Linked DNA regions of Astyanax mexicanus. Each later gene encodes a partner of the first gene's protein in a complex. Links are inferred from orthologs where the notes say so. Each region holds a gene or a part of one and is shown in the gene's direction. Other genes may lie near its edges. The genes, in order: thoc5, thoc6, thoc7 and thoc3.

The links.
Region 2: the proteins of thoc5 (region 1) and thoc6 are in contact, whole or in part, in a cryo-EM structure (PDB 7APK), measured with the Homo sapiens proteins. The link is inferred for Astyanax mexicanus from reciprocal best matches to the Homo sapiens genes THOC5 and THOC6. Residues at the interface, in NP_001002877.1 of Homo sapiens: Pro406, Gly407, Asp538, Ile539, Val540, Asp541, Ala542, Gly543, Leu544, Ser575, Ile576, Ser593, Asp596, Arg599, Glu602, Gly603, Asn606, Val607, Tyr609, Arg660, Phe662, Arg663, Gly664, Pro665, Ser666, Arg667; in NP_001334633.1 of Homo sapiens: Val5, Pro6, Ala8, Val9, Pro10, Leu11, Gly12, Gln13, Val16, Phe17, Leu20, Gln21, Leu23, His24, Met25, Thr26, Phe28, Tyr45, Tyr80, Asp94, Glu125, Val126, Pro127, Glu128, Asn130, Gly146, Tyr170, His172, Glu188, Trp222.
Region 3: the proteins of thoc5 (region 1) and thoc7 are in contact, whole or in part, in a cryo-EM structure (PDB 7APK), measured with the Homo sapiens proteins. The link is inferred for Astyanax mexicanus from reciprocal best matches to the Homo sapiens genes THOC5 and THOC7. Residues at the interface, in NP_001002877.1 of Homo sapiens: Pro48, Asp51, Tyr52, Tyr55, Cys59, Leu62, Gln63, Met66, Ala67, Gln70, Phe95, Lys99, Leu101, Asn102, Ala105, His106, Arg108, Leu109, Gly112, Arg113, Gln115, Thr116, Ala119, Lys120, Val123, Tyr126, His127, Leu130, Leu133, Glu136; in NP_079351.2 of Homo sapiens: Ala21, Asp23, Ile27, Leu30, Val31, Phe34, Tyr50, Met53, Leu54, Leu57, Cys60, Glu61, Met64, Gly65, Thr67, Leu68, Val70, Tyr71, Asn74, Met78, Tyr81, Ile84, Tyr85, Ile88, Glu89, Ser91, Ile92, Ala95, His96, Lys98.
Region 4: thoc5 (region 1) and thoc3 share a complex: the UniProt entries of both Homo sapiens proteins name them as parts of the transcription/export (TREX) complex. The link is inferred for Astyanax mexicanus from reciprocal best matches to the Homo sapiens genes THOC5 and THOC3.

What each region holds. Positions count from the first base shown.
Region 1 is NC_064409.1:52,841,179-52,848,475, reverse strand, and holds the start of thoc5 (THO complex subunit 5 homolog), read left to right. Parts: upstream 1-4,292; 5' UTR 4,293-4,397; intron 4,398-5,537; 5' UTR 5,538-5,539; coding exon 5,540-5,635; intron 5,636-5,932; coding exon 5,933-5,995; intron 5,996-6,240; coding exon 6,241-6,384; intron 6,385-6,487; coding exon 6,488-6,601; intron 6,602-6,696; coding exon 6,697-6,794; intron 6,795-7,297. Other genes in the region: zgc:158398 (transmembrane protein 248), read right to left, coding at 1-24, 172-312, 2,079-2,238, 2,324-2,498, 2,605-2,863, 3,185-3,343. UniProt on the Homo sapiens protein: Component of the THO subcomplex of the TREX complex which is thought to couple mRNA transcription, processing and nuclear export, and which specifically associates with spliced mRNA and not with unspliced pre-mRNA.
Region 2 is NC_064426.1:19,838,831-19,845,844, reverse strand, and holds the start of thoc6 (THO complex subunit 6 homolog), read left to right. Parts: upstream 1-4,007; 5' UTR 4,008-4,103; coding exon 4,104-4,118; intron 4,119-6,006; coding exon 6,007-6,098; intron 6,099-6,951; coding exon 6,952-7,014. UniProt on the Homo sapiens protein: Component of the THO subcomplex of the TREX complex which is thought to couple mRNA transcription, processing and nuclear export, and which specifically associates with spliced mRNA and not with unspliced pre-mRNA.
Region 3 is NC_064431.1:26,148,878-26,155,798, reverse strand, and holds the start of thoc7 (THO complex subunit 7 homolog), read left to right. Parts: upstream 1-3,899; 5' UTR 3,900-3,949; coding exon 3,950-3,968; intron 3,969-5,093; coding exon 5,094-5,214; intron 5,215-5,852; coding exon 5,853-5,980; intron 5,981-6,075; coding exon 6,076-6,162; intron 6,163-6,921. UniProt on the Homo sapiens protein: Component of the THO subcomplex of the TREX complex which is thought to couple mRNA transcription, processing and nuclear export, and which specifically associates with spliced mRNA and not with unspliced pre-mRNA.
Region 4 is NC_064417.1:38,820,571-38,828,178, forward strand, and holds the start of thoc3 (THO complex subunit 3), read left to right. Parts: upstream 1-4,591; 5' UTR 4,592-4,628; coding exon 4,629-4,808; intron 4,809-5,355; coding exon 5,356-5,512; intron 5,513-6,632; coding exon 6,633-6,837; intron 6,838-7,049; coding exon 7,050-7,211; intron 7,212-7,608. Other genes in the region: shtn3 (shootin-1), read left to right, coding at 36-321, 885-1,029. UniProt on the Homo sapiens protein: Component of the THO subcomplex of the TREX complex which is thought to couple mRNA transcription, processing and nuclear export, and which specifically associates with spliced mRNA and not with unspliced pre-mRNA.

The sequences.
Region 1 (7,297 bases):
CATGCTCAGGACCCCAGCAGTCACCTGTAATATGAAATTGCACATTTCAGTAAAGGTGTCTGTACATGACAAGCAATTTATTTACAAAAATTTATGGATTTTTGAGCACATTGTGTAAAGAACCAAATTAAGTTCATCCATGAACATCAAATAAAGTGTTTGGTTCCTCACCTTTTGGAAATGAAGATCGTTGGCAAGGTGACGCCGAGGCCTGGAGCAGGTAAGAGTTCCAGTAAGGCACATCATGCTGCAGACAGCCAACAGCACAACGCTCACCAGCATCAGATGATATCTAGCTAGTGCTTTCTCTTCCTAGGAAGGGAGATGCAGCAGAAAGGTTAGTACATTGTATGAAAAGACACCATTTCCAGCTGCGCACTGATCAAGGAACTGCTACAAGATAGTGGACAATTAAAGACTGGATCAAAGAGAAAAATACTATGATATACGATGTTGGTGTAAAGGGCAAGGTATGTAAAACAAAACATGATTATCCCATGTGTGAACCCAAAAACATGGGTTGATGGGAAAGACAATCTAGCAGATTCCTAGGATTCCTTGATGATCAGGTTCTACATTCTGAAAGCAGGTAAAGTGGCAACTATGTTGACATTTGTCTGAACAGATTATGCTAATAAATTGACGTGTGAGTGCACAAAATTTTTTCATGCTTATTGTTGCACATGTAGAACTGTCACATTAGGATTAATGCATGCATTTCAGTCTAGCTATTTAGATAGTGGGGCATTAATGCTTACTAGCTATTTACCCGAAAAGCCTATGTTCATACTGCTGGTATGAGGGAGTTCTGAAAATGTCTGTCCAACACTGATAATTGCAAGTGATCATACGGAATTTGCATGTTTAGGCGTCACAAACCTATCTGCATAGGTTGCTTTAGTAACAACATGGCCGACAGTAACCTGGCCATGCTGTTGGATCTCCAGACTTTTGTTACTCTGGATTTGATGTGGTTACTGTTGCGTTGCGAGTGATGCAAAAGACATTTTAAAATGGTTTGGGCAGTTAGAACATCCACAGTCTTTAGAAGTTGTCTGAAAAATCCACATTAAATCCAAATGTTCCAAACTGTATTTCTTTTTGCCGCCTTCTTTTTTGCGGTCTAAACTATCAAATAAATCTGAATACAAGGTACATATGCAAAAAGCCAAAACCAGAACAAAAAATGTTTTTCAGTGTCCTTTTCCCACTCACACTACCACACAGACTCACAAAACAGTCTGCATTATGTTAAAAGTAAAGTAAGGTTTATCAACTCACTGTACAATAACAGTAAAAAACAAAAAAAGATTTCCTTCATGCACATGTACATTAAAAAAACACTTGTAACAAGATGGAAAACTATACATTAGTCTCAGAATCTTCCCAAAAATAGCTTATTGTGGAGTGAGTGTCAGGGATCAGAACAAAAGTAAATTTACTACAAAGTAAGTTGCAGGAAACCAGAAACATAAAATTCTCCTCACATCAGCAAAAGTTTTGTACAGGTGGTGGTAGTGGTTTGTGATTGTGTCTAAAAAGATGCATAAAAGTGCTTGTCTGACAAGGAAGAATCTTTTAGTAAGTTTATTTTTTAAACCGATGGACTGAAATTTAAAGTTGACTATTACCCGTTTCTGGGGTGTGCGCGTCCACATGCTATAGTAACTGGGTAATATGCACTTTTTATATAAGAATGTTAGGACCACCTCTACGACTTACCATCTACGAGGTAGATCTAGCTAGCTAGGTAGCTGTCTAATGGAGTAAACAGTGTTTAAGAACTCCAGCAGCACTGCTGTGTCTGTTCAAGACATTAACACAATCACTGTGTCAGTAGTGTTGAGAATAACCTAACAACCCAAATGCCTGCTCTATGATAGGCCTGTGAAGTCCTGGCTATTGACGAATAGGGTAAATAGAAGAGGACAAAGCATGAGAAATCGAAAGGACTACATTCTGTAATTTAAAAACTATAAATCTTCTTATAATCAGTAAGCAGACAAGATGGACAGTAGAAAAAAGAATATGACCATAATATTCAAATTTGTTATGATATTTGATCATATGTTTTTTACCTGAGTAAGTAGCACAGTCAGTTTGGGGTCAGGTGTAAACTTTAAGATGAGGCATGGAGATGCATTATCAGAATCCTGCCTGTATGATTCTGTAGCAAAGACTCTGACAGGAGAAATATCCTTCTCTGGGTTGTAGTTTGCAGGGCATTCTGGAGGTTCCCTGAAAATATACTCAATTCAGCATACAGGTATATAATCTAAAAAAAAAACACACATTTATGAACTTCTATTTGGTAGTTGCTTACGATCTCAGCGGGAGAAGGTGAGCTGGAGCTGAAATTTTCAAGCAGGACATGGAAGGCTTCGTTTCAGCCTCAGTAGGCAATTTTGGATCAAAGGCAGAGTTAGAGACTGTGCTTGATATTTGAGATTGGAGGTGCAAGAACAAAGATATGTTAAATAACTCCTTTCCAGCAACACCTGGGGAGAGAAAAGGTTCAATAAATGAACGCTGGACAGTTTTTGAAAAATCAATCCAATGAATAGCATTCATTTTTATAGACCAAATACAGGAGCACATACACACCCTTTAGGCCTAACTGGCTTCCCAATAATGTAGCACTAATGCTGTTGTGACTTGGATCATTTTCAGTGCACACCAGAGGTACAAGTAGGGACACATGAACAACTCCTCTAGTGTCTTGGGAAGCATTTGAGAAGGTTCCAACTCCATGATCTAATAGCAGAGGGGATTCATCCTCTTGTTTCCCACCCAACAGGTCTGTATTGTTTACATCTGTGCAGTACCTCAGGCTTGCAATTGATCCCAGTATTTGATTCCAGTCCTAAAACAAATATAGAGGACTCTTTTAGGCCTATAGAAACATTTAGTAAAATTAGATAAAATTCTGATTTACAGAAGTGCATTGCAGGGAATAGATGACTAGAAACATGTGGTAATACATGTTTGTTATCCAAAGTAATGGATGATTGATCACCAAGGATCTTTAGACAGACTTATATCATATCAATGTTGTTGCACCAGCATTATTATTAAGCTGTATAAAACTATGAATAGTAAATATTACATTGTGTGACAAACCAGTTCCTTTAGGGTCTAGCCTTCTAGCCTCAGTACTCTGATAAACATATACAAACATAGTTACCAAGCTGATGTCTGGGTTCTTAATGTCATGTTGTTTCGAGTATATCCCAATTCCAATAAAGGCTCCAGCCAGGATCAGCAGGCAGAGAAAAAAAACAACAACAGGCGGATGATGGACAAGTTTAAACCTCAGATTTGTTACAGGCTGCCACTGAGCCATGGTGTGTTACAAAAACCCTCAACACAAGCACCACCTGAAACACATACAAGTAAGAGTATTGGCAGGTATGTAAGCTGACTTTAACTGATTAGAATATTAATCAATGATCTAATCAGACCTTTGAGCTAAAAAAAACCGTACCTTTCATTTGCTTAAGTTAGCTATCCCAGAGGAATACTGGGCAATGAACCTGAGCAGAGTGAACAATACGTTATATTGTTTTAGAGTCAACACTGCACAGATACTACCGATTAGACGTTAAAAGCAATGTTAACTCTTTAAGTACAACAATAGTAAGTACACACTTGACTTCCTCAGGTGGGAGCGAAGAGGGACTTTAGTTCATGTTTCAAAATAAAAGTCCTGCTGGGATTAGAGTGACGTTGCAACAGACATAGTAAATAAGCGAATTTAATGATTTGCAACGTCTTTTCATAGATTAGACTTACTTTTTGATACGTTAAGAACGGCGTGTTTTAAGTGCATGTGGAAACAAAACACGAGTTTACACATTGAAATGCTTTTCACGAAAAGTTATATTTTTCAATGTGGGACGTTAAGTTGACCGTTGAATAAAGAACACTTCTGGGCAACAACTACATTATTTAATAGTAAATACCAGCAGCCATAAAGAACAGCTCTGCAGTTTTTTTTTTAATTTCTGCATTTTCTGCAAATAAATGCTCTAAATGACAATATTTTTATTTGGAATTTATTATTATTTTTTATTCAAACATATACCTATAAATAGCAAACTAATTCAGAAACTGAAGTGGTCTCAGAGCTGTATATCTAGTATTTTATTATTATTATTATTATTATTATTATTATTATTATTATTATTATTATTATTATTATTATTATTATTCTCTGTTTTTAAGGGTAAAGGTTAAAATTATAGATTTACTGAGGCAAACAAAAGTACTTAACAGACGAAGTATACCACCAATTCAGCTCCTTTTTAAAAGAGACTTTTATTTTAACCAGGGTTCAGATACAGATTCACCGTAGTCTCTGAATTCACACATCGTTCCCCTCTGTCCGCGCTGCTGAGGTAATTGTTTTATATAGTCTAAAATATCTCACGCCTGATTAAAGTGTGATTATTGAAGCTAAGTATTTTTGATGTCTGTTATTTAAGTTTATGTAAATAAATCTCCGTTTATACTAAATGTGAGGGGCCGTGGCGGTATTTGCGCTGTATTAGTTAGTTAGTCGGTGGATCCTGTGAGCTCCAGTCTTTCCTCTCAAAATTTTATCTCTTACATTATTTATTTAAAAAGTTACACAGATATTTCCAAACATCTCACTGGGGCGGGTTTATCCATCCAAATGCGTTCTGATTAATAGCAAAACACTGTGCTTAGAGACCCAGTTCCAAATATTAGCAAGCTAACATTGCATTAGCAGGCTAACATTAGCATTTCTTATTCCGAAGGTCCATGCTGCTAGTTAGGTTATCTCTTGATCTATCTAGCTAGGTACAAAGTTAGTTAGGTTAAGGATTTGGTAATAGAGGTGGGTGATATGGCCCTAAAATAACCACGAAATTTCATGGTATTTTTGCGATAGTGATTCTTTTGGTGATGACAAAACACATAGAATTTTAGTTTCAGTATGACCTATTAGAGTGTTAAATAACTAAATGTGAAAGCTCATTTTTGCACTGATATCCCTGCACTACATGCATTTTTGTAACTAGGTTGTTGTTTTTCATGTAAAAATTAACTTGTCAAAATCGAACAGTCACTTAGTGCATGTAAATGATTTTAAACCAATGCCTTTGAGCCAAAAACAATACAAAAATATATTGATTGTGTACATGCAGTGTCTAGTAGCCTGACTCAGTTTTTATCTCCCATGATTTAAATATCAACATGCCATCTAATTTCAAAATAGTGTGTTAAGATGTGCAGCATCTGGCGCTAAACATTATCTGTCACTTCTATGTATTTTTAAAATGTACTTAATGTGCCAGTTGACAAAATACACTGCTTGTCCTAAAAAAGGTCACACAGATTTTTCACCTATAAATTTGATTACAGTGGCATTGTTTCCACAAGCTTATGTAATGTCAAAACATTTAGTTCCAATTATGTGAGTTTACTTCACATTGTGTGTGTGGAAATGCTCTTACTTTCACTAGTGAACATATCCCTGAGTTCTTTGATTTAATTTGGCAATTTTTTTCTAGCCATGTCTTCTGACACTCTGAAAAAGCGCAAGGCAAAAGTAATCCGGAGTGATGGCGGGACTCCTGAAACTAAACGAGGTCGAGGTGAAGGGGATCAGGTCAGTGGTATCTTCCTTCTCTTAATTATGACAATTTTGGAGAGACTGTTCTGTTTTCTCAGAAACTGATTCCATGTACATAGCTGTTATATATTTTTTGTAGGAGTAAGACTTCAGTAGGATTCAGTTTTGCTCTATCCATTTAGCATTTTGACATCCAAGTGTCCAGAGGGTGTACAAGGGTGTTACATGCTTATATTTAACACCCTTAAAGCTGTAGACTTTAGGTTGTATTTAGAGTGAATAGTAAATGTTGGAGATTCTTTGATGCCACACTCATGTGAAATGTATTGGTAGGGAAGATTTCCAGCTGGAGTCTCCAATGTGGACCAGAAGAAGCTGTTGTCAGTGAAGAACAAGGTCCAGCAAAAGTCTCTCTGCTCTAATTTCTATTCTTTAAAAAAAGACTTACATAGCCTATTTCTGGTGCACCCACCTCTTTGTATGTACACACTTGGGTGAGAGCAGGGTATAAAATGCTAAATTTGTGATAGAGTAGGTAAGAGAGAGAGGTTTGTTCAGACATTGCCTGTTTTTGGTATAAAGAGCTAGTAAAGGTGAATATTTGCTACCTCTATGTATTCCTGAGTGCTTGTTTTCATTAGGAGGTGCGTGTGTATAACGAGGAGGTGGAATTGGAAGGCAGAGACCCGGAACAGGATTACGTCCTTTATAAAAGTACCTGTGACTCCTTGGCAAAACTAATGGCTGAAATACAAGAACTTAAAGCCAATGGTGCAAAAGAAGGAGTAAGTTTCTTTCTTTTTTAAAAAAAAAAATAAACCCAGGCTAAGATGAAAGGAGTGTTGATGCTAAACAGCATAACTAAAATGCCCATGTTTGTATATACAGAGTGAGGAGGTGGAGGAGAAGCTCAGACAAGGTTGTGTTCATTTCATTACCCTGAAGAAGCTGAATCGTTTGGCACACATGAGACTGAAGAAAGGACGTGATCAGACGCATGAGGTACTCACAAGAAACACCCTTTTTCGTCTCTTCCTTTTCTAGTTTATTTGCACATAGTCTCTCACCCACCCACTGCTTTTCTTCTGTTTCTTCAGGCGAAGCAGAAAGTGGATGTGCTGCATCTGCAGCTTCAGAATCTTTTGTATGAGGTCATGCATCTTCAGAAAGAAATTGGCAAATGCCTTGAGTTTAAGTAAGTTATTGTCCTTTTAAAAACATACTACTGTATGTTTTTGTACAAACTTGAGCAGCTTGTTCCCAAAAAATCTCATTCATAAAATTATCATAAATTAATCATAATTTACGTAAATTATCAATTAACTGTAAATACTTACCACAGGCAGTCTACCAAAGCGAGTAAAAAGGTGCTCTTGCATTAGAATGTATAATTTAAACATATGCAAACATTGAAAGCTACCAAGGAACTTTCCAAAGAAAAGTTAATATTCAAATAAGCAGGTGGTCCTTTCACTGTTATTTTTGCTTAATGTAGTCAGATATCAATCAACTCGACTTAAGTTTAGGGATGGTAGGATGATCTGTGCTTGTGAAATGTGGTTAAAACATACACGACCAGGATTGAGCACTCAAGTTTTGGTCTTTAAAACTCAAACAGATCTCAGTATGTTATTGTGCACCCAGCACATTTGTAAGTAGAATTGTATTTTAGATGGTTAATGTTTATGTTACAAAGCG
Region 2 (7,014 bases), on another chromosome or scaffold:
TAGGAAATTCATGAGTTAAAGTAAAGGACAATAAGGAGCTTTTCACATCGTTTAAAGCAGGGGTGTCCAAGCTTGTTTTTTGGGGCCAGAAGGAGAAATATATGTACAGTCACGGCCATAGACTCTGTAATAATAATAGTATGAAATATATATAATAATATATATATAATAATAATATATAATAATAATAGTATGAAATATACTTCTTATAATAATACATTTTATTGATTATCATTTACACATCATTTTACTTGAGTTACTATCATTAATAGTGTTGTGTAAACTAAGATTTTTCAAATTGGTGTTTCATTTCATAATGTCTCTTAATATTATAATCCTTCATTACATACCTGTCAAGTCTCCCGTTTTGGCCGGGAAACTACCGTATTTTACTCCTCTTTCCCGCCGTCCTCCCGTATTAGTATTTTCCCGTAAATTTCCCGTATTATATTAAAAAAAAAAACTTTACTATTGAGGCGACAGGGCACTGGTCACTGTGTGTCTCTTAACCAATGGTAGTGCCGGTTCAAGGAGAAAGTCCCGCCTTTCAGGTGAAACAGCCAATCAGGTTCCTGGTTTCGCAGAGCGCAATGTAGGAAAGCCCCGCCCCCCTCGCTGTGAGAGCTAGTCGGAGCAGCTGACGTTAAAGCATATCTGGATATATAGCGAGGTAACGGAGCTAAACATGTAAACTATGATGACGTTGTTTCTGAAACAGTCGGATCAAACCGACTGTGTGCTTAAGAAAATACAGCTTGTGACTCAGTTAGCTTAACTTTACAATTAGATGTTCAACCTGCCCTGATCAGCCAATAACTATTTCATTTTCAAACTGTGTTTATTAATTTAGGTTTGCAGGCCTACTGTAAGCTATAATGAACGAAACTGTATTTATTTTATTAGTTCAGGGCTAGTTTAAGAGTATTGTGGTGTAATTTATTATTTAGAAGGGGCAGAAGAGATGGTTGATCTGGAGAGAGAGAAAATGTGAAGAGGGCTGAAATTAACTGACTGACAGGACTGGACTGATCAATAGAAAGAAGTATTAATTAAATTATTAATTGTTTAGGCCCCTTTGGACTAATATTTACTTATGCAATATATCTGGTCCATGTCATTTTTGTAAAAGCTGATGATTTCATGTAAATGTCTAGAAAAGGGTTTAACTTAGGCTGTATTATAAGAATTACATATGTAGGAATGTCCACAACATTTCAGTGTCAACAAAGATAGACCTGTCAGATTCTGATAATCTAATTGTAGTTTGTAAAATGTTCCCAGGTGGTTATTTTAGATTTATTGTAAACCTGTCTTAAAATATAAGGGATTCTGAACCTCGGTTGGGTTGGTGGGCGACTCGAAGCAGGTGACGGAAAATTTCCCTTATTTTTAAGTCCAAAACTTGACAGGTATGTTATTATGGCAACTTTTTCCTGACATATGCACACTTCCCTTTGAACGTTTCTGCATTTGCAGTCAATTTTCCGTCTTTTTTTTTGAGTTGCCATGTTTTACTAAAAGCTCAGGAACGTTAATGTAGGCAGGGTTGCCAGATCCAAGAAAAATATCCAGCCCAAAGTCAGTCTAAAACTTGCTCTTCAGAAGCTTAAACTAGCCCAAAATATGTCTATTACTTAGTACTACGACGTAGTATTTTGTTTATAAGGAATTTATAAACAAATTATTTATCTTAAAGTCAGTACTAATATTGTAACAGTATTTTATTAGTTTTTTTATAACAGTTTTATATTCCAGTCAAGAACATTTAATAGCAACATAATTAGCAAAAAAAAAAACTTACTTTTACTTACTCATTTCTGTACTTGCCCCTCCGTAACTCTCTTTTCTCCTCTTTTAACATTTTTTATCTTCTTGTGATTTAAACTGTGATTTTCTTTGTTTGTTTCTTGTGACTTTTTTGCCACGGTAATTTTTAAAAGTCGCCCCTAAATTTTCACCCGCAACTGGATTTTCAAACAAGCCCAATTTTGCGGAAAAACCGCCAACCTGGCAACTCTGAATGTAGGCATAATGAAGGAAGGAAAGGAGATGAGGAGCGTTTTAGATTAGGTTTATGTGATAGCGACACCTAGCGCCTAAACTTTAAATCTCACATTATTAACACTTGCTTAGTTACGGGCCAACTTTCAAAGAAACACACACACACACACACATACACACACTGCCACAGTCCTACAACTTTAAGCTCCCGACCCTCAAACACATTCAAGGTGGAAGCTCGCATGTCCATGTTTTCATTTTCTTTGAAAACCAAAATATGTTTACCCTCAATAAACATCCCTTATTTACAACAGTGAATTAAGTCTGTTCTAAAACTTTTCACACAGTCTGAAAGTAAAAAAAAATGATATAAATACAAAATTGTAAATGAATAAATTAATAATATTAAAGTTAAATACGAAAAACAGAGTATTGAAAGTAAGTACAACTTTTCTGTCTTCAGTTTCTTCAAGAGATGTATATGCATATACAAGGTCTGCACAAAAAAAACGAATCTGTGGCTTTAACTGATGAACTTCTCTAAAAGTACCAACAACTTACAACTTACAACTTACCCAGCGGTCAACAATTAGTTAAACAAAACATAGAAGAAAAAACAATGGACTCGTTAATAATCATTAACAAGCTTGTTAAAAGCTGAGAAATAATAAGTGGCATGAATCAAAATCACATTTAACAAATACATATTCTAAATGTTATCTTGCTCCACCAAACAGAGCAAGGGCAGTGTGTAGAAACATTAATGTATAAAAATGTGTAAAAATACATTGCATGAAATTTGTACTGGATCAGTTGTTCATGTTTTCTGGAACAGATGGATATAACCTGTTAAGGATTTTGAGAGTCTCATGCCATGTGCTGTTAAAATAGCAAGTTTACGAATATATCTATGCTGATGGGTGTGGTGTTTTGAAGGTGAGGTGTGGTCAGGTAAATTTCTGCCAGGCTGATATTTTGGTAATGGAAAAAACAGCTGCGCCAACAAACTGATTAGAAACTAAACAGCTCAGTGCACATACCCAACTTTTTGTGTGGAAGAACAAAATCAATACTGTTCACCTATTGTTTTTTTTAATCAGTTGCATGACTTTATTTATTAGAAAACAGAAAAAGGTGGAGGGTTCTCTGTTGTAATTTGTGTATATTATGTACTTGTAAATCAAACAAAATAGTAAACAAATATTTGAAACAAAAAACATTGGATGGATGTAAAATGTTGTGTTTTGTCTTTATGAAGAACGAAGTATAAATACATTTTAATGGGATGTCACAGTCCTTCAAACAAAAGCTGACCTGGGAAGTGTACTAACCTTATATATAAAAAATAATTGTTTTATTTCTAATGTGGGAGTTAATATATTAAATTTACAGCTAAATTTACCAAATTGAAAACCTCTGGAATATAATCAAGAGAAAGACGGATGACCACAAGCCATCAAAACAAACTGAACTGCTTGATTTTTTTGCACCAGAAGGGGCATAACGTTATCCAAAAGCAGTGTGTAAGACTGGTGGAGGAGAACATGCCAAGATGCATGAAAGGGTTATTCCACCAAATATTGATTTCTGCACTCTTAAAACTTGTTTTCTTTGCATTATTTGAGGTCTGAAGGCTCTGCATCTTTTTTGTTATTTCAGCCATTTCTCAGTTTCTTCAAATAAATGCTCTAAAAGACAATATTTTTATTTGGAATTTTGGAGAAATGTTGTCTGTATTTTATAGAATAAAAAAACAGTGTTCGTTTTACTTTAACTATTATTAAACTATTTATTTATAGCTATAAATAGCAAAATCAGAGAAGCTGATTATATACAAGAGCTGAGAGCTGTATATATATACACATATACTGCCCATTACCACAGTATCTACCATCTACCTCCATATCTCAGAGACCCTCTTAACGAGTGGAGTAAATTACTATATTGATTTCTCAGTAATTCATTCAGGTTATCAGAACATAAGCCCCGCCCCTTTTCTCTGTAACGTCACTTTCCAGCGACAGTGTTTAAACTGAAGCGGCTGAAGAGCTGCAGTGGTTTTACAGCTCAGTTTCAGCACAGCGGCGATTCCTCCTCTCAGTATGGGTCCTGTAGAGGTAAACACCACACACCGCCTCTCCTACAGCTCATATAAACATATAAACACTACAGCCCGCCTGTAAGAGCCCGGTGTAGGACCGCACAGCGCCCGCTGTTAGCACTGCTGACTCTCTAGTGGGCAAGATAGCCTTGCTAACGCTAACTAACCTAGCTAACCTAATAGATACCTTCTCTATTTACTAACTCAGCTAAACTGGGGTGATTTAAATTTACCACTTTTCTAAAAGGTGGTCTGGTCTTATTTGTGTTGCTGTTGTTTATTTATGAGTATTTGCTTGCTTCATTAATGGAGAAATATCAACCAACTAGTTAGCTAGCTAACAGTTAACTGGGTTATCTAGCTCACTATACAGCTCTGGAAAAAATTAAGAGACCACTTCAGTTTCTGAATCAGTTTCTTTTATTTTTCCATTTATAGGCATATGTTTGAGTAAAATGAACATTGTTGTTTTGTTCTATAAACTACGGACAACGTTTCTCCCAAATTCCAAGTAAAAATGTTTTCATTTAGAGCATTTATTTGCAGAAAATGAGAAATGGCTGAAAAAAAATGCAGAGGTTTCAGACCTCAAATAATGCAAAGAAATCAAGTTCACATTCATAAAGTTTTAAGAGTACAGAAATCAATATTTGGTGAAGTAACCCTGGTTTTTAATCACAGTTTTCATGCACTACTTTTGGATAACTTTATGCCACTCCTGGTGCAAAAATTCAAGCAGTTAAGCTTGAATTAATGGCTTATGATCATCCATCTTCCTCTTGATTATATTCTAGAGGTTTAAAAAAAAAGGATATGTTTAGTTGGTTGTTGCTAGCTAGTTACTGTAGTTTTTGAGCAAGCACTGACAATGGCTGCATCCCAAATTTATTTTTATTCTAGCAGTGGTGCACAGTTGACTGAAGGAGCTTCACTATGAAAAATAAACGAGTTTTGTAGCTTGTTAGGTACAGGTGCATGTAAATTGAATATCATTGAAAAGTTCTGAAATTTATGCTTTTTTTGTTTTAATTTATTTCTTTTATTGTTGATGATTATGATTTACAGCCAATGACAACCCAAAAGTCAATATCTCAGAAAATTAAAATATTATATAAGACCAATTGGTACTTTTGGCAGTGTGCCAAGTCCTGCTGGAAAATGAAATCCCCATATCTCCACATCTCCATAAAAGTTGCCAGCAAAGGGAAGCATGAAGTGCTGTAAAATTCTGTGGGAAAACACTGCACTGACTTTAGACTTGATAGAACACAGTTGATCAACACCAGCAGATGACCTGTCTCTCCAAACCATCACTGATTGTAGAAACTTCACACTAGACCTCAAGCAGCTTGGACTGTGTCTCTCCACTCTTCTTCCAGACTCTGGTCCCTTGATTTCTAAATGAAATGCAAAATTTACTGATGGTCACTGATTGTTTGGAGAACTAGGTCATCTGCTGGTGTTTTACAGCACTTTATTCCCTCTGCTGTTAACATTTATGGTGATGCAGATTTCATTTTCCAGCAGGACTTGGCACACTGCCCACACTGCCAAAATACTGGGTGGTCTTATATCATATTCTAATTTTCTGAGACACTGATTTTTGGGTTTAATTAGCTTTAAGCCATAACCATCAACAGTAAAAGAGACATATCTAAACCTTTTAGGCCACACAATCATTCCCTTTCTTTCTACCTGTTGGTGGCCATTGAACACTAAAAACTCTTTAGAAGATCATCTTGCTTGATGTATTTAGCTATTATCTGTTGAGTCACAATTTATCGTATATTAGATATAGAAAAAAAAGAAGTTAGCAGTGTTGGAAGAAAAACTTCAATGTCTTAGTCTTTTCACTTTCCCAAGTTAACACACATTGTAATAACCACACTGTTCTCCCTCCACAGCTTCTCCACATGTCCGTGTTCTCCCAGAGTTTTTCTCCCTGCGGACGCTTTCTTGCAGCTGGTAATAACTATGGAGAGATCGCCATATTTAGGTGAGCTAATAAGCACTGAATAAGATGTGTTGGTTCCATACTATAACAGGTTACATGCTCATTAGAGTATTTCAGAATTGGTTAAAAGTGATTAATTTAGGGAGAGAGGTATAATGCCCTGAATTGAACTGAAGTTCAGCAGCAAAGTAGCTGAAATTATCCAGGAGAGTTGCCTACAGAGCACCACTAGTTACCTATTAGAAGTGCTACTGTTTGAAGAGTCGTTCCATTTTTTAGGGTAGGGGAGGATTTTTACCACTTGGATAAAAAGAAAACAAGTGGTATTGGTACAAAAGAGAAATTAGACTGGGCCTTTGTATTCAACAGTTAGGTCAATGCTAAATAAAGATAACAAAAATGGTCAAGAAAGGCAGAACTAGTGCTATAATATATATTAGATTATACCACACCTAGTTCTGACCCTGCAAAGTTATTGGCTGAGAGACATTTTGTGAGTGTCAGTATTGCATGATAATGGCACTCTGACCAAAGCTGTAGGATTACTGGGCCACATACACACATGAGCTAAGATTCAGTCACAAAACAGTTAAACATGTTAGACTTCTTAAAAGTTGACTTAATGTGTGTAAAGTGATTTTTTGCAACAAATTCCAGTCTTTAGCTGCAGCAGATTAAAATGATGATGATAAAATAAACACTTTATTTGCTTTTGGGGAAATAATAAATGAAGAATGTTTGGAACTGTTGCATGTTGGAACCTTTAGTATCAGTATCAGAAAATAAAATACATTGTGCACTCTTAAATCAGCCAAAATATGAAATCTTTTTATTTAATTCATATTAATTTTTAATGATTGTTTGATATTGTATTGTATCATTTTTCCCCATGCAGTCTCTCAGCAGCACTGAGTCCAGATGCCACAGATCTGAGCCAGAAGCCCATTCTAACTTTTAC
Region 3 (6,921 bases), on another chromosome or scaffold:
TATTTGATGTCCTCATTGATAGTCAAATAACATTCAATTGCAACTGAAAAGTAAAAGTACATGATTCTCTAATGAATGTAACCCTACATTTAACTCTAACCCAAAAACTAATCTTAACATTTTAGGATTGGGTTTAGGGTAGATTTTAAGGGCGTTTAATGGTTAAGGTTAGGGTAAGGTGTAGGGTTGGATTTTAGGGTTGATTAATGGTTAAGGTTAGGTGTAGGGTTAGATTTTATTTTAAATCATTTACATTCACATAGGTTTATGTTGCATGTAATAGACATTCAGTTGATTGTCAGTTGAACATCAACAAGGCCATAATAAAATGGACCGTCCAAGTAAAGTGTTACCGAATAAACTTGCATTGCCTTGTATCACAATATATTGGCACACTCTTAACTGACACTGGTAGTCCACAACAAGTCAACAACTTGGGTTAGCTTAGCTTAGACACATGGTTTCACTTCCAAATCTGCCTCCCACAAAGTCATCTTACAGAAGTAGCTTAGCTAAACTAAATACAGCCCTGGAAAAAATGAAGAGCCACTTAAAAATGGTTTTACCAAAAACATGTTTTTTCTTTGGTTTTACCAAATTGAAGACATCTGGAATATAATCAAGAGGAAGACGGATGATTACAGGCATAAACATAAAGTTATCCAAAAGCAGTGTGTGAGACTGGTGGAGGAGAACATGCCAAGATGCATGAAAACTGTTTAAAAACTTTTGACAACTGTGACAAAATGTTTGAACTCTTAAAACTTTATGAATATGAACTTGTTTTCTGTGCATTATTTGAGTTCTGAAAGCTTATTTGCATATTTTTTTGTTATTTTAGCCATTTCTCATTTATGCAAATAAATGCTCTAAATGACAATATTTTTATTTGGAATTTGGGAGAAATGTTTTCTGTAGTTTATAGAAAAAACAACAATGTAAATTTTACTCAAACATAAACCTATAAATAAAAAAATCAGAAAAACTGATTCAGAAACTGAAGTGGTCTCTTATGTTTTTTTCCAGAGCTGTATGTTAGTTTTCTCCCTCCTGTCAGGAGAGCCCCATTTATCTACAGAGCTGCAGCTCGGAGGTTTTAATAGACAGAAGGCTGCTGGTGGTGTTGCTCCAGCTGAACAAGTGCACTGAGAGAGTGAAAGCAATGAAAGCAGGCAGAAAACAGCAGCACAAATATAACTAAAGCTAACTAACTATAAACAACTGCGAGCGGGCTCAGGACTTTCTGACAACCAGGGCTCTGGCTCGGGCTCAGGCTCGGGGGTCCGTCACCCAGCTAACAGCGCTGATTAAAGTTGGAGAAGAATTACGTCACCAAAATAAAATGTTAGTGACATTCAGAGAGCAGCAGGAGGAGGAGGAGGAGGAGGAAGAGAGGAGGGAGGGGGGGTTGTAGCATGTTAGCTCCGCTGCTGTTTCTACTGCTGGTGCTAACAGCTGCAGCCATTTGGAGCTAGGTTAACTACTAGCAGAAAAAGCCCGGACAGCCATTAGCAGCTAGCAGCGCTATCCGCTCTCCGCGTCCCCTTACCTTACCGTCCTTGCGCCCCCCGCGGGAGCGCGCCTGCCGCCCACACCGAGCGTCTGCCTGCGCGCGACCCTGCGCCGGCTGGACACGCTCGCGGGGCCCGGGGAGCGGAGTGAAGCGGGGGAGCGGCCGCGGTCTGCGCTCAGTGGCTGTGGAGGAGGAGGTCTCCACCAGGTGCGTCCATGTCTGTTTACCACGCAGCATTCTGGGACGAGCGCGTCACCGTAGCGGCCTGCGAGCGCATGCGCGGACAGGCGCGCGCTCACCAACCGCCCCTCTTCGCTTCGTCTACCCTCCCTCCCCTGTTGCTGCGCAACCCTACTACTGTCAGAGTATTAAATAATAATAATAATAATAATAATAATAATAATAATAATAATAATAATAATAATAATAAACAAATTGGTTAATATAATCCATCGCTATTAAACTGAACTGTTAACTACCTGATTTTTTTTTTACATTTTTGGTTTAGTTTGATATGAGAAGTCATTACTTTGAGATGACCAATGGATTACTGACTAAAAACACAATACAAAACAATAATACGACTGAATAATTATGTAGTATTAACAGCCTATAGTCTTAATTATTAAGAAGTAAACTTTATATTATAGTAAACATTCCATCACTTATCAGTAGGGGACGAGCCCTGAATGGTGGAGATTTTGGAGGTGGTTCAGTGAAGGTATCCTAGTCTTGAGAAGCTGCTAAAATTCACATTTTATTCACATTAATGTACAAAAATGTTACGTTATACGTGCCTGCAGGGGTGTTTTTTTAGATGCTCATTATTTTGAGATAATGTTTCCTTATTTTGCGAGGCCATGTAATCATTTTGACATAATTTATTTATATTCTGAGTTTATTTTTTATTATTTTAAAATACTTCTTAGAGCTTTTGAGATGCTAAGACTAATTCTTTTGAGATGATAAGGCATTGTTTCGTTTTTTTAAATTATTTGTTATAAATATAAGATGATAAATCACTTTTAAAGTTTGCTAAACTTTCTAATTATTAAGAAAATAAAGTCATTGATATATTCTCTCATTGTTTTGGAGATCCTTTGTTGTTATTTTGAGACTGCACATGTTTTTGCACTCACGCATTTCTATTACAGTCGTCCTTAATGGAACCTAAAGGTTTTTTTTTCTTTTCCTTTTATTTAATCGCTTAAAGAACATAGTGTAGTGAAAATATGCTTTTTTTAACGGTGAATAGGAAACCTGAACATAATATTTTTGAATTAAATATTTTATATTTATATTTTAAAAGAACAATATTATGTATATGTTGTATTTAACCTAACACATAGATATTTAATAGCTGGGGGTCTGAGGTGAATGAATGGAAGGGGGCGCTCTGCTTGTGTTGGTAAAGTTATGGTGAGACCAGAGCTGGTTTATGGCGAGCCTGCCCACTTCATATCAGAACATTAATATGAACCGCTAGAGGGCGCCCGCGAGTGAGTCCTCAAGGAATGGGGTGAATGGAGCTAAACGGCTAAAAAAATAACTAAAATAGTAAATAACTACGTGTTCAGGACATTTCTTTAATTTCAGAAAAGTAAAATAATGTATTTCCCCAGAAAAGAAAGAAAATATACTATTAAGTTTTCAGTTTTTAGATCTGATGCAGGATCAAACGTTTTATATAGTTTTATAAGTTATAAGTTACTTAAAAACTAAACTAAACTAAAAACTAAAAAATAGAAATGTGTATTTATTACTGAAACATTTGATATTCTTCTGTGTTCAGGGAAATTTCATTATTATATTTAAATAAAAATCAAACATTTCTATACTATGATTTTGCTTACTTGCTCCATATGAACCCATTCATTTTGGACTCACTTGGAAGCGATCTTTGGTGGTTTGGTTTGGTTTGATTTAGTTTACTTTACTTTAGTTTTAGTTTTTTGATTTTGCAAAACGTATACACACATAAAAAAAAAATAGTAGACTATTTTAACATAAAAACAGTGATCATTTATTTAATATACAGTAGTATTAGTCAATATAAATATTATATGTGGCAATTAAAAAAAAACTACTAATTATACTAATGCATTAACAGTTAATAAATAAATAAAGACATTTGTTAAGAGAAAAAAAGTATTATTTAAAATATATTTATTTATTATTTATATCCATTATATTAAATATGTGGAGCTGGTGGGCGTCCCTCATGTTTTAAATTTTCATTTTCATGGTGGTAACCCTATTTATATATTATATTTGCAATATTAAGGTAATATTGAATAAATCACAGAATTTTAAATAACGTAATTTAATAAATAATATGTTGATTGGTTGGTAGGGGTTCATTAAGTGGTCCGTCTCCCTGATACAGGGTCTGTGGTGAACGTCAGTCTCTAAGCTACAGTACAGGAGGTTGGACAAATGGGGAGCATAACTGACGGTGAGATTCTGATTATTTATGTTGGATTAATGCTTTATTTTTAGCGATTTTTATGGATATTTCACGGGAATTGAAGAGAATATGAGTGTTTACAGACTATAGAGGTCATACAGGTTACGGAAACAGATTAAAAAAAGCTGTAAATAAACTAATAGCGAGCCGGTTAACTGTTTAGCTAACTAGCTTAGCTTAGCTTAGCTCTCTGAGGTAAATTAGGAGCTAATAAGCTAATGTACAGTTTACATACGGGTTTAAACACTGGTATATAAAATGAGGCTTTCTCACAACGACGGAAACATTTAATTAAAAATTGATAACTATATTAATATAGCTTAGTTAATTCATTCATTAACGTTACTTAGGCTGCAGCAGAACTACAACAGATCTCACTGTGTGGCTCTTATAAAAAGAATAAAATAGAAATTCTCTGATATTATTGCATTAAACTGCATGAATATGAGCTACAGTAACAGCTATGGATAACAGCTAGGTCGCTATTAGGATTCTAAATGATATGCACTGTGATGAGTACTGTGTAATATTTATATAAAAGGAAATTATATCATATCAAAACCGTTCAATAGTTTTTTTAAGTCTACCTGGCCCACCTCATATATTTAAATGGTAGTATCTATTAATATAAATAAACGTTAATTTAGGTCTGCATTTTCCCCCTTTTATAACAACAATAATAATAACAGTAATGGCGATAAAATTATTTATGTAACAGAAAATTATATTATATGAAGACTATCCAATATATATTTTTAAAATCTACCTGGCCTACTTAATAGTTAAATGGTAGTATTTATTAATATAAATAAATGTTAATTTAGGTCTGCATTTCCCCCTTTTATAACAACAACAATAATAATAATAATAATAATAATAATAACAGTAATGGCGATACAATTATTTATGTAAGAGAAAATTATATTATATCAAAACCATCCAAGATTTTTTTTTTAATCTACCAGGCCTACTTAATAGTTAATTGGTAGTATTAATTAATATAAATATGTATTTTTCGGCATTGGCAGATACTGTATATACCTTTGTAATATTGGCATCTGCATATGAATGAAACTTTTGTAAACTTTTGTATACAACTGTGTCTTTTATCAGATGAGGTCATCCGGAAGCGCCTCCTCATTGATGGAGATGGTGCTGGAGATGACCGGCGTATAAATGTGCTGCTGAAGAGCTTCATCAAATGGTGTCACTCAAATGTGACGCCAGAAGAAGGGTAATTTCGTTCAACAGATCCTTTATATAATTTGATTTACTCTGCTGATTATTCAAAAAATATCCCTAGCTAATTTTGTTGCCAGTATGGATATCAAAATGCACAATGCTCTGAGACTTTTCAGTCATGAGTGCAGCCTTCAGTCCAATGTTCTTCAATACTGGGATTAAGGACCCTCCTCTCCAGCATATTTCAGAGGATTGCCTGCGTTAATACACACATTGCAACTCTGAAAGGGCAAATTAAGGACCTGGTTAGATTAATCAGGTGTGAAGGGAGAAGGGAAAACCATACATTTGCAGGGCAGAAGTGCGACGTGACTAGGATTAAAAACCCTGCTGTAATAAGTGTAAAAATTGTGCTCATCTTGCAAGAAATTGGTCTTTAGTGTTTGTTTGAAGACGGCAGGTGACTCTACCATTCATACATTTGAACCCAGCACCCATTTGATTCATTCAAAGCTCATTCTCACTTCTGAACACAGTCATAAAGTTGCGATAGATAAGTTTGAATAAGATCTGAGGTCTGCATGAAGGTAGCTTGCTAAAAACAGGGTGAGGAGCATTGTTGAAGATCGAAGATCTACACCAGGGCCTCTTCTGCTCACATTTGCTGAATTTCTGTCCTCTTTCCTGCAGGTTTACACAGTATCAGAGGATGCTGGGAACCTTGACGCAGTGCGAGTTCTCCATGGGAAAGACGCTGCTGGTGTACGATATGAACCTGAGAGAAATGGAGAACTATGAAAAGATTTACTCTGACATTGGTGAGGATTTTATTGATTCAGAATCAGAGGTTTAAAGTATTACATTTTACATATTGTTTGATGTAACCATGAAACATGTCTTTTCCACATCACAGGGCAGAGCATATCATCAGCACATGAGAAGATAGCAGAGTGCAAGAAAGAAATCCAGAGGGCTAAGAGGATACGAAAGAACCGTCAAGGTTTGGTTATTTTATCAGTTTAACTTGAGTAAAATTTCCCTGAATGAATAAGAAGGATAAATAAGCCTCCTTTGTTTTTAGAGTATGACATACACTTCCAATCAAAAGCAGCAATTATGTTTGTCCTAGATAAGCTGCTTTTTTATTTTCTCATCTTAGCAGTGACTTTATTATTGCATTTTATCTGTCAGACCTGTAATTCCTCTCTTGACTGCTAAAACTGAGACTTGGTCTACTGTTAAGATGAGCTAAAAGCTAAAGCTGTTGCCATGTGGGTCAGCCAGAACTCTTCCTGTACCAGTCTTCTGATAGTGTAGGAAACAGTACTCACCGCTCTCTGGCTTCATCTGTTATTTCTTTAATTTAAAGAAATTTAAATTTCTTTTCTTTAAAGAAAAGACTTCTACTTTTAATAGTAACAGAGTTGTCTGAGGTCTTTCAGATGTATTCTTCTAGTTATAATAATAAAAGTGTGAATGTGCTGTGTAAATGCTACAGTAAAGATTGCAGTAACACAATCTGCAAAATTTTGTAAAAATCGGGATTTTGTGCCATTTCTGGTTATTTACTGGACCTGAAGAGCTTAAATGGCATAAAATAAAGAAGAAACAATTGGGGTGTTCTAAATTTTACGGCAGTGTGTTCCCTGATCAGTATGTCTATGTAATTAGTCATTAAAGTTATTTATAAATAATACAGTAGTGAAATATTTTAGAAAACATGTTATATTAATGCTTTGAATGTTTTATTGTCTTCTTT
Region 4 (7,608 bases), on another chromosome or scaffold:
ATTCTCACATGCAGTTCTCTCACTTTTCTCCGCAGATGAGATGGATGGTCAGATCAGCAAGGTTTCCTCGAACGATAGCCTAAATGGTCGACACAGTTCTGACTCAGGTAAAGACACGGACGGGCCAGGGAGTAGCTCTCTCTCCACCAGCGACACTGGCTCCAGAAGCAGCACAGACTCCGGCAAAGAACCACCCACAGCCCGCAGGAGCTCAGACTTCGGCACAGAGCCAAGCGGAACCAAACCGAGAGCTTCCGTCCAGAGATCCCTTTCTGAGAAAAGACCTGCAGAACTGGTCAACAACAAAAGCCCCTGCAACCGGTAAAGCTACTTCTGCAGTTGTCATTACATAGTGGAAAATAATATTTTTTTCTTTATTTAATTGGTATTTGTATGTCTGATTTTTTTCAGAACACTTTATTCTTATTATTATCTGCATTGTAGATTCTTATTAAAGACATCAAAACTACGAAGGAAGACATACAAAATTATTTAATAAACAAAAAGATGTCATGTTTTACACTTTAAATTCCTTTTGTTTTGATGCCAACTTTGCTTACTCTTGACATTATTATCTCAGTTGGCTTTATGAGATAGAACCTGGAATGGTTCTCTCTTAAAGGAGTTCTATATGTGCTCAGCTCTTGTTTTATCTGCTTTTCCTTCACTCTGCACTCCAACTCATCCCAAACCACCTGGGTTTGTCAGGTGTTTGTAAAGGTCAAACACTTTTTGTCTACTAATTTAATTACATATGTGTTCCTTCATTGTAAGTATTTTAAGTATTTAATATTAATCTACAATTTAGAAATAATACAAATAAAGGACAGATTACACTGTATGTCTTCTAATGTATTTACATAATGTCTCTTGGTGTGTCACAGGGTGCAGAAGAATGAAGAGGAAGAGAAGAGTGAGCAACCCAATGGGATCAGCCACCCCACACACAATGAGGACCTGCAGGCCTCTCTCAGCTCCTCAGCAGATGGCCCTAACGATGCAAATGGCAGCGTGGACGCTGAGTGTTAACGGAAGGCAAGCACTAGCAGGACAGCTGCAGCATTTGCACAGAAATCTTGTTTTTTAATTTCTATTTATTATTCCAAATTATGCACAGGTTCAGTTTTAGGTATTCAGAGCACAAACTGTCTGATTGTGTGGGTTTGTATCCACTAATGAACACCCTTTATATAGATCTATCCTGCATTTTGGGAACTTAAAGGAAACCTACTTTATTCCTGTTGGGAAATGATCATTTGCTCCTCTGTAAAGTATCTTTTGGAAAGTGGGTTTTGCCAGAACGTGTACCATGCACTTGCAAGAAAATGCAACATATGAAATGCATTGCTACAAAGCCTTTCCAAAGGAAATATTCAAACACACAAAGTGACCCCTTTTCTGTTTGCATCAGCCATTAGCAGGATTTGCCAGAGACTTATAGAAGCAATCCTGCACGGCAACTTGTATGGGACATTATCCAAAGTTTATTTTGCCTAGTACAAAGCTTAGGTAATGTCTGAGTTAGGTCAGATGTGAATTAAGCAAGTCATTTTCCAGATTTTTCACAGCAGGTCGTTTCGTGCCTCCTGCACATGCAATGCAGGTGCTACCCCTTGCCTAAACCACAGAACTTTCCGGTAGTCAGAAAATCTCCATCAGTATGTCACGTGTGCAAGAGCAGCTCCAGATTGTCCGGACCTGACAGTTCCTACTCTTGAATACAGTAATTTACCATAATTTTATGTTGTTCAAACACAACCTTTAAATTTGTCCATGATTTTGTGTAGTGAGGATTATTAGGTCTAAAATTGATATCACAAGAGTTTGACTGTAATAAACCTGTATCAATCTTAATCATGATGTGCACTAAACATTAATAAGGAAAGAATTCACATAAAACATGATGTTGCAGTTGAGAGGCAATTCTCTAATCTAGAGAAAAACATCTTTGTATTTAGCCTAATTAACACAACACCTCAAGTTGGTCATCAGCTCATCTAGCTATAAAGTGCCTAGAGGGCATTAAGGCCTTAAAACCTCAGTTAAGGCATTAAGACCTTGCTTGTAGAATTTAGGTCAACATGATGCAATTTGGCATCATACATGCCAAAAATACCACATGCACACCATAAATCTAACAACAAACAACAGCTAATTACCTATCGCAATAACAAAAGGCTGTACGTTACTACACTGCTAAGCTCATCATCAGCTTGATTTCCATGTTCAAAAAGTAAAATGTAATCAAAGACCATTGTTTACAATGCAAAAACTCAATCCTGAATCAGACTGAAAACAGTACAGCACACCAAGGCACTTCTGCTGTTATATCTGAGGCTCTGTGGTTCAGTTTCTGAACCTTCCTCATTAGATGCAAATACAAGTCATGCAAGTGCTCTGAAAGACATAGATAAGCATGTAGGAGATACTGTAGATTAGGATATATACAATCTACCTCCTCCTAGACCAACTCACCTCCTAGCTATCTGTAATTGTACCGGTTCTTTACATTGTGACAATAAAGTGAACGTTCTTAAGGATTGACATGCTATTCTCCAATGTCTTCCACCTGTTTTCCCGAGTTTTTGCACTGCAGTGAATTCACTGCTTGGGGATTGTATGACATTTGCTTGGTTTCACATGTAATGTTGTGTAATGTTAAGGTAGAGGTAGGTGGGCTGTAAGGGGTTTTTATAACCTCTCCAAACAATGCAATATCATCTGATCATTCTTTTTATGATGTGCAACAGCCAGGAGATAGAGGAGATTGTCACTGCTTTCACAGAGCGATACTGTATCAGCCTGTAAAGAATTGAACTGTTGTGCTCTACTAGGGTTTATTACATCACCCACTGAGATCTGAATTCTGATATACTGTACATGGCACATTAAAACTGTTTCATATTAAACTTGACAATTTTAAGAGACTGTTCTTGTCCAGCAATGAACTGACCCAAGTCAGTAACTGTGGGATGTTTACTGGCCTTACTGCAACACCATATGGTTCTGCTCCGCCTGCATGCCGTCCAGGCTGTAAGAAGTTAAGGATTCACTCGGGATGCTATCTGACTGTTGTGATCTTAAAACGTGTGTATGTTTGCGTGTGTGTGTTTTGAAGCTACAAAAAATGAGTGCACCTTTTAATTTAAAAATCATGTTATTCTCCTGCACCGTACCTTTTAAACTGGACTGAATAAACATGAAGAACTACCCAGGTGTTTTGAAGTGTGATATTTCCACAACCTTTTACATCATAAAAGCCACCATTTAAAACAGGCCAACATTAAATATTTTGTGACATCACAAAAACAACGAATTAAAAAAATTACAATTGATCTTTAGTGACATTACAAAAACATATTCAAAAGAGGTCTCAACAACTCTTTTGTGACATCTCAAAACAATTAATTAAAAAGCAGGCCAAAAAATACTGAATTCTTGTGTCTTGAAACCATTTGGATTGGTCTCTTCTTGCACTCAGTAGACCTATGAGTATTCTCTGTTGGTGGGAATCACACTTGTCTGCTCTCTCTTTAACAGTGTTTAGTGTAGTTCTGCAGGGCAGAGGGTTGGAATGCAGGGTATATAATATCCATTATATGCCTGTATCGCCCTGTGTTTAACTGTCCGGTGGAAAAAAACAACGTAAGACGTGTTAAGATACATTTGCAGGTTCTCATTAGAGAAAGAAAAAAACTTGTTTTCATCTCAAAACAATGACTTAGCATCTCAAAATACTAGGATAGCATTTCATAATAAGGACTTACTATCTCAAAAAGAGATAGTATCTGAAAATAATGACTTTCTATCTCAAAACAATTAGATAGTATCTCAAAATAGCAACTTAGTATCTCAAAATAAAGATTTACTATCTCAAATTAGCTATAGTATCTCAAAATAACGACTTACTATTTGAAAATAATAAATAATGAGATAAGGACTTACTATCTCAAAATAATTAGATAGTATCTCAAAATAGCAACTTAGTATTTTAATATAACGACTTACTATCTCAAAATAATTAGATAGTATCTCAAAAAAGCAACTTAGTATCTCAAAATAACGACTTACTATCTCAAAATAATTAGATAGTATCTCAAAAAAGCAACTTAGTATCTCAAAATAACGATTTTCTATCTCAAATTTGCTATAGTATCTCAAAATAATAACTATCTGAAAACAATAAAAAATAATGAGATAGTATCTCAAAATAATGACTTACTATCTGAAAACAATAAAAAATAATGAGATAGTATCTCAAAATAGCAACTTAGTATCTCAAAATAACGACTTACTATCTTAAAATAATTAGATAGTATCTCAAAATAGCAACTTAGTATCTTAAAATAACGACTTACTATCTCAAAATAATAAAAACAAATAATGAGATTATCTCAAAATAATGAGCTAGTATTTCAAAATAATAAGATAGTATCTTAAAAATAACGAATTAGTATGTCAAAATAATGACTCTCTCTAAATAATTGAGATATTATTTGAAGTGGCGGTTATGGTCTTTCACAGGGAAAGCGTGTATTTCAGTGTGTTTCTCCGAGTCGCCAGGCGGCGCTGGTCTTCAGTTCCGGGTAAAAAAACACCGGGCCAGTTTAAAGGAAGCAGCGGTGAAAATGGCGTCCTCCTACTTTCATGAGATGCAGGAGAATTTCAGGAATAACAACAAGAGCCGCGAGTTTCCCGCTCACAGCGCTAAAGTCCACTCCGTCGCCTGGAGCTGCGACGGGAGGCGGCTGGCCTCGGGCTCGTTTGATAAAACAGCGAGTGTGTTTGTGCTGGAGAAAGACCGGCTGGTGAGATCCTGCACTCAGTCCACTCAGAGATCTGATAGAGCTGCAGCGCTTCCCTGAGCTTTACTGTCTCTGATTCAGTCATACAGATTCATTAATCGGTTTATTCATTACCTGCAGCAGTGTGACTGTGATGCTCTATTATTTATCATTAGTACTAATGATAAATAGTTAACCCGATAGAGTAGAAGTGTGAAATATTTTTACAGACGTCCCCGTGATAAACTTAGCCCATCCAGATAGGGCTTCCTGTATTCTGCAGCTACAAATGTAGGTGTTTTATTAAGTATTAAGCCTTATCCGGACGGGATTAGTTTTTGTATTTTTGGAAAGTTTCCTCCTCAGAGATTAACCCTATTTCTGGACTACACAGCATTTAGAATAGAGATTTTCCATTAAAGGTAAAAAATATAGTCAATTACTGGATATCTGACAGTTGTATTTGGATACAGTGAAGAGTAGCTAAAGCACTTTTTATAAAAAGTCTCTCTAAAGAAGAGCATCTGCTACAGGCCAGATATGTAAATGTATATTTCTAACCACCTCACAGGTGAAGGAGAATAACTACAGAGGTCATGGAGACAGTGTTGACCAGCTGTGTTGGCACCCAACCAACCCGGATCTGTTTGTCACTGCTTCTGGGGACAAGACCATTCGGATCTGGGATGTCCGCACTACTAAATGCATGGCCACGGTCAGCACCAAAGGTGAGACTCAAAACAAACATTTTGACTTAGGTTCACAACTATACCAGCTTTGTTATACACATGTCTTCTCATTCAGTGTGTTTTCTTTCTCTTTACGATGTTTTACATTGTAAATGTAATATGTCAAAGACTATATTAAAGCTGTACAGGAATGCATGGTGATATATTTTGTAAACAAAAAGTGTTAAACAAACCAGAATATGGTTTTATACTTTAGATTCTTCTAAGCAGCACATTTAGAGTTGATGACAGATCTGCACACTCTTGGTATTTTAATCTTCGTGTCTTCATGATGGAGAGTCACCTGGTATAGTTTTCGCAGCATCTTGAATGAGTTTCTGGAGGTGCTGAACAATAGTTGTTGCTTTTCGTTCACACTGTGAGGCTCCAGCTCATCCCAAATCACCTCAAATCACCATCTCAGTTAATCAGGTTTAGATCAGTGGATTGTGGAGGTCAAATCCTTTTTTTTGTTTACTACATAATTCTGTAAATTGTCCTTTAATCGATTTCATGTCTTTTTATTAATTTGCAATATAGAAAATTAATTATATAAAGAAAAACATTGAATAGGAAGAAAGGTGTGTCCAAACACTGTGAATTATGGCTGGGTGAGGTGTCTGAAAAAACTCATCTCTTCATATGCTCAGAAGTAATATCAGTATACAGTTGAATATAATAAAACCCTCATGTACAGTGTATGTTAAATGTATTAGTGTATTTCTGTAAATGCATTATGTTGTGTATTTAAAATACTGCTGTATACATATATACATAAAGTTGCACTGGTTGCACAGTGTTTCACTGACTCAACAAACTGCACTGAATTATGTTTAACATGGTGAAATAAGGTTGTTTAAATATGACAATACTACCACATAATTTGCCAAAGACTTAAACTGTGCTGAGACACCCCTCCAGTAATAAAACCATGCACACAAAAATAACCCCATGCATGTTCTTTTTAAGGAATTCCAGCGCTTTCATACTCGCCACAACATTATGAAAATTATTATTAAAACTATTACAAGCTCTGAAAACAGCTACCTGAAACTTTGCTGTTAGCATAAATGCACAAATACATTCAGTTGTGCAAAAACGTATGTTTTTATGGTTTTAGGAGAGAACATTAACATATGTTGGAGTCCTGATGGTCAGACCATAGCTGTGGGGAATAAGGATGATGTGGTTACTTTTATTGATGCTAAAACTCACCGCCCACGTGCTGAAGAACAGTTCAAGTTTGAGGTCAACGAAATTTCCTGGAACAACGATAATGATATGTTCTTTTTGACTAATGGTAATGGCTGCATCAACATTTTGAGGTAAGCATTGTTTCTTTTGTGGTATTTGCATGAATTACTTAATTTCTGTCCCTGATGTACTATAACCCTCAACCCTAACAACTCAGCAGCACCGCCTTAATTTAATTTAATTGAACATAGTTAAGTGGGAGTTAAAACAGTTTGCTTTTATATTTCTGTGTATACATGTCCAGGTTGGGAATGAATATTATTGATTCATTTTTCTTTTACAGTTACCCTGAACTAAAGCTCATTCAGTCAATAAATGCTCATCCGTCCAACTGCATCTGCATCAAATTTGATCCCACTGGCAAGTATTTTGCTACTGGAAGTGCAGATGCTCTGGTCAGTCTGTGGGATGTTGACGAGTTGGTGTGTGTTCGCTGTTTCTCAAGGTAAGTTTCTTTATGGCAAACAATTGACATTAATATTAATTTGTTTCTCCTTTCAGCTAAAATAATATTACCACATGTAGTCTGCTTCAAGTTGCGTCTATTGATAACATGCTTATCATAGTGTGCAATGAAACTCTTGGTTTCAGAAAGAACTTAAACAGCATCTGTCGCAGTAAGTTTGTCCACATTGTCCATATTTTTCGCACTATAAGGCGCACTTTTAATAAACATCTTTTTTCTGGTCTATTTTTATACATAGGGTGCAGCGGATTATATAAAAAAAAAAAAAAAACAACACATTTTAGCATTTTAGATTAGTCCGATTAGCACTGGATGTTAATGTACACAGATTTCTCTTGTGAAAACTGTTTATTTGGGTGAGTAAAGTGCTTCCATT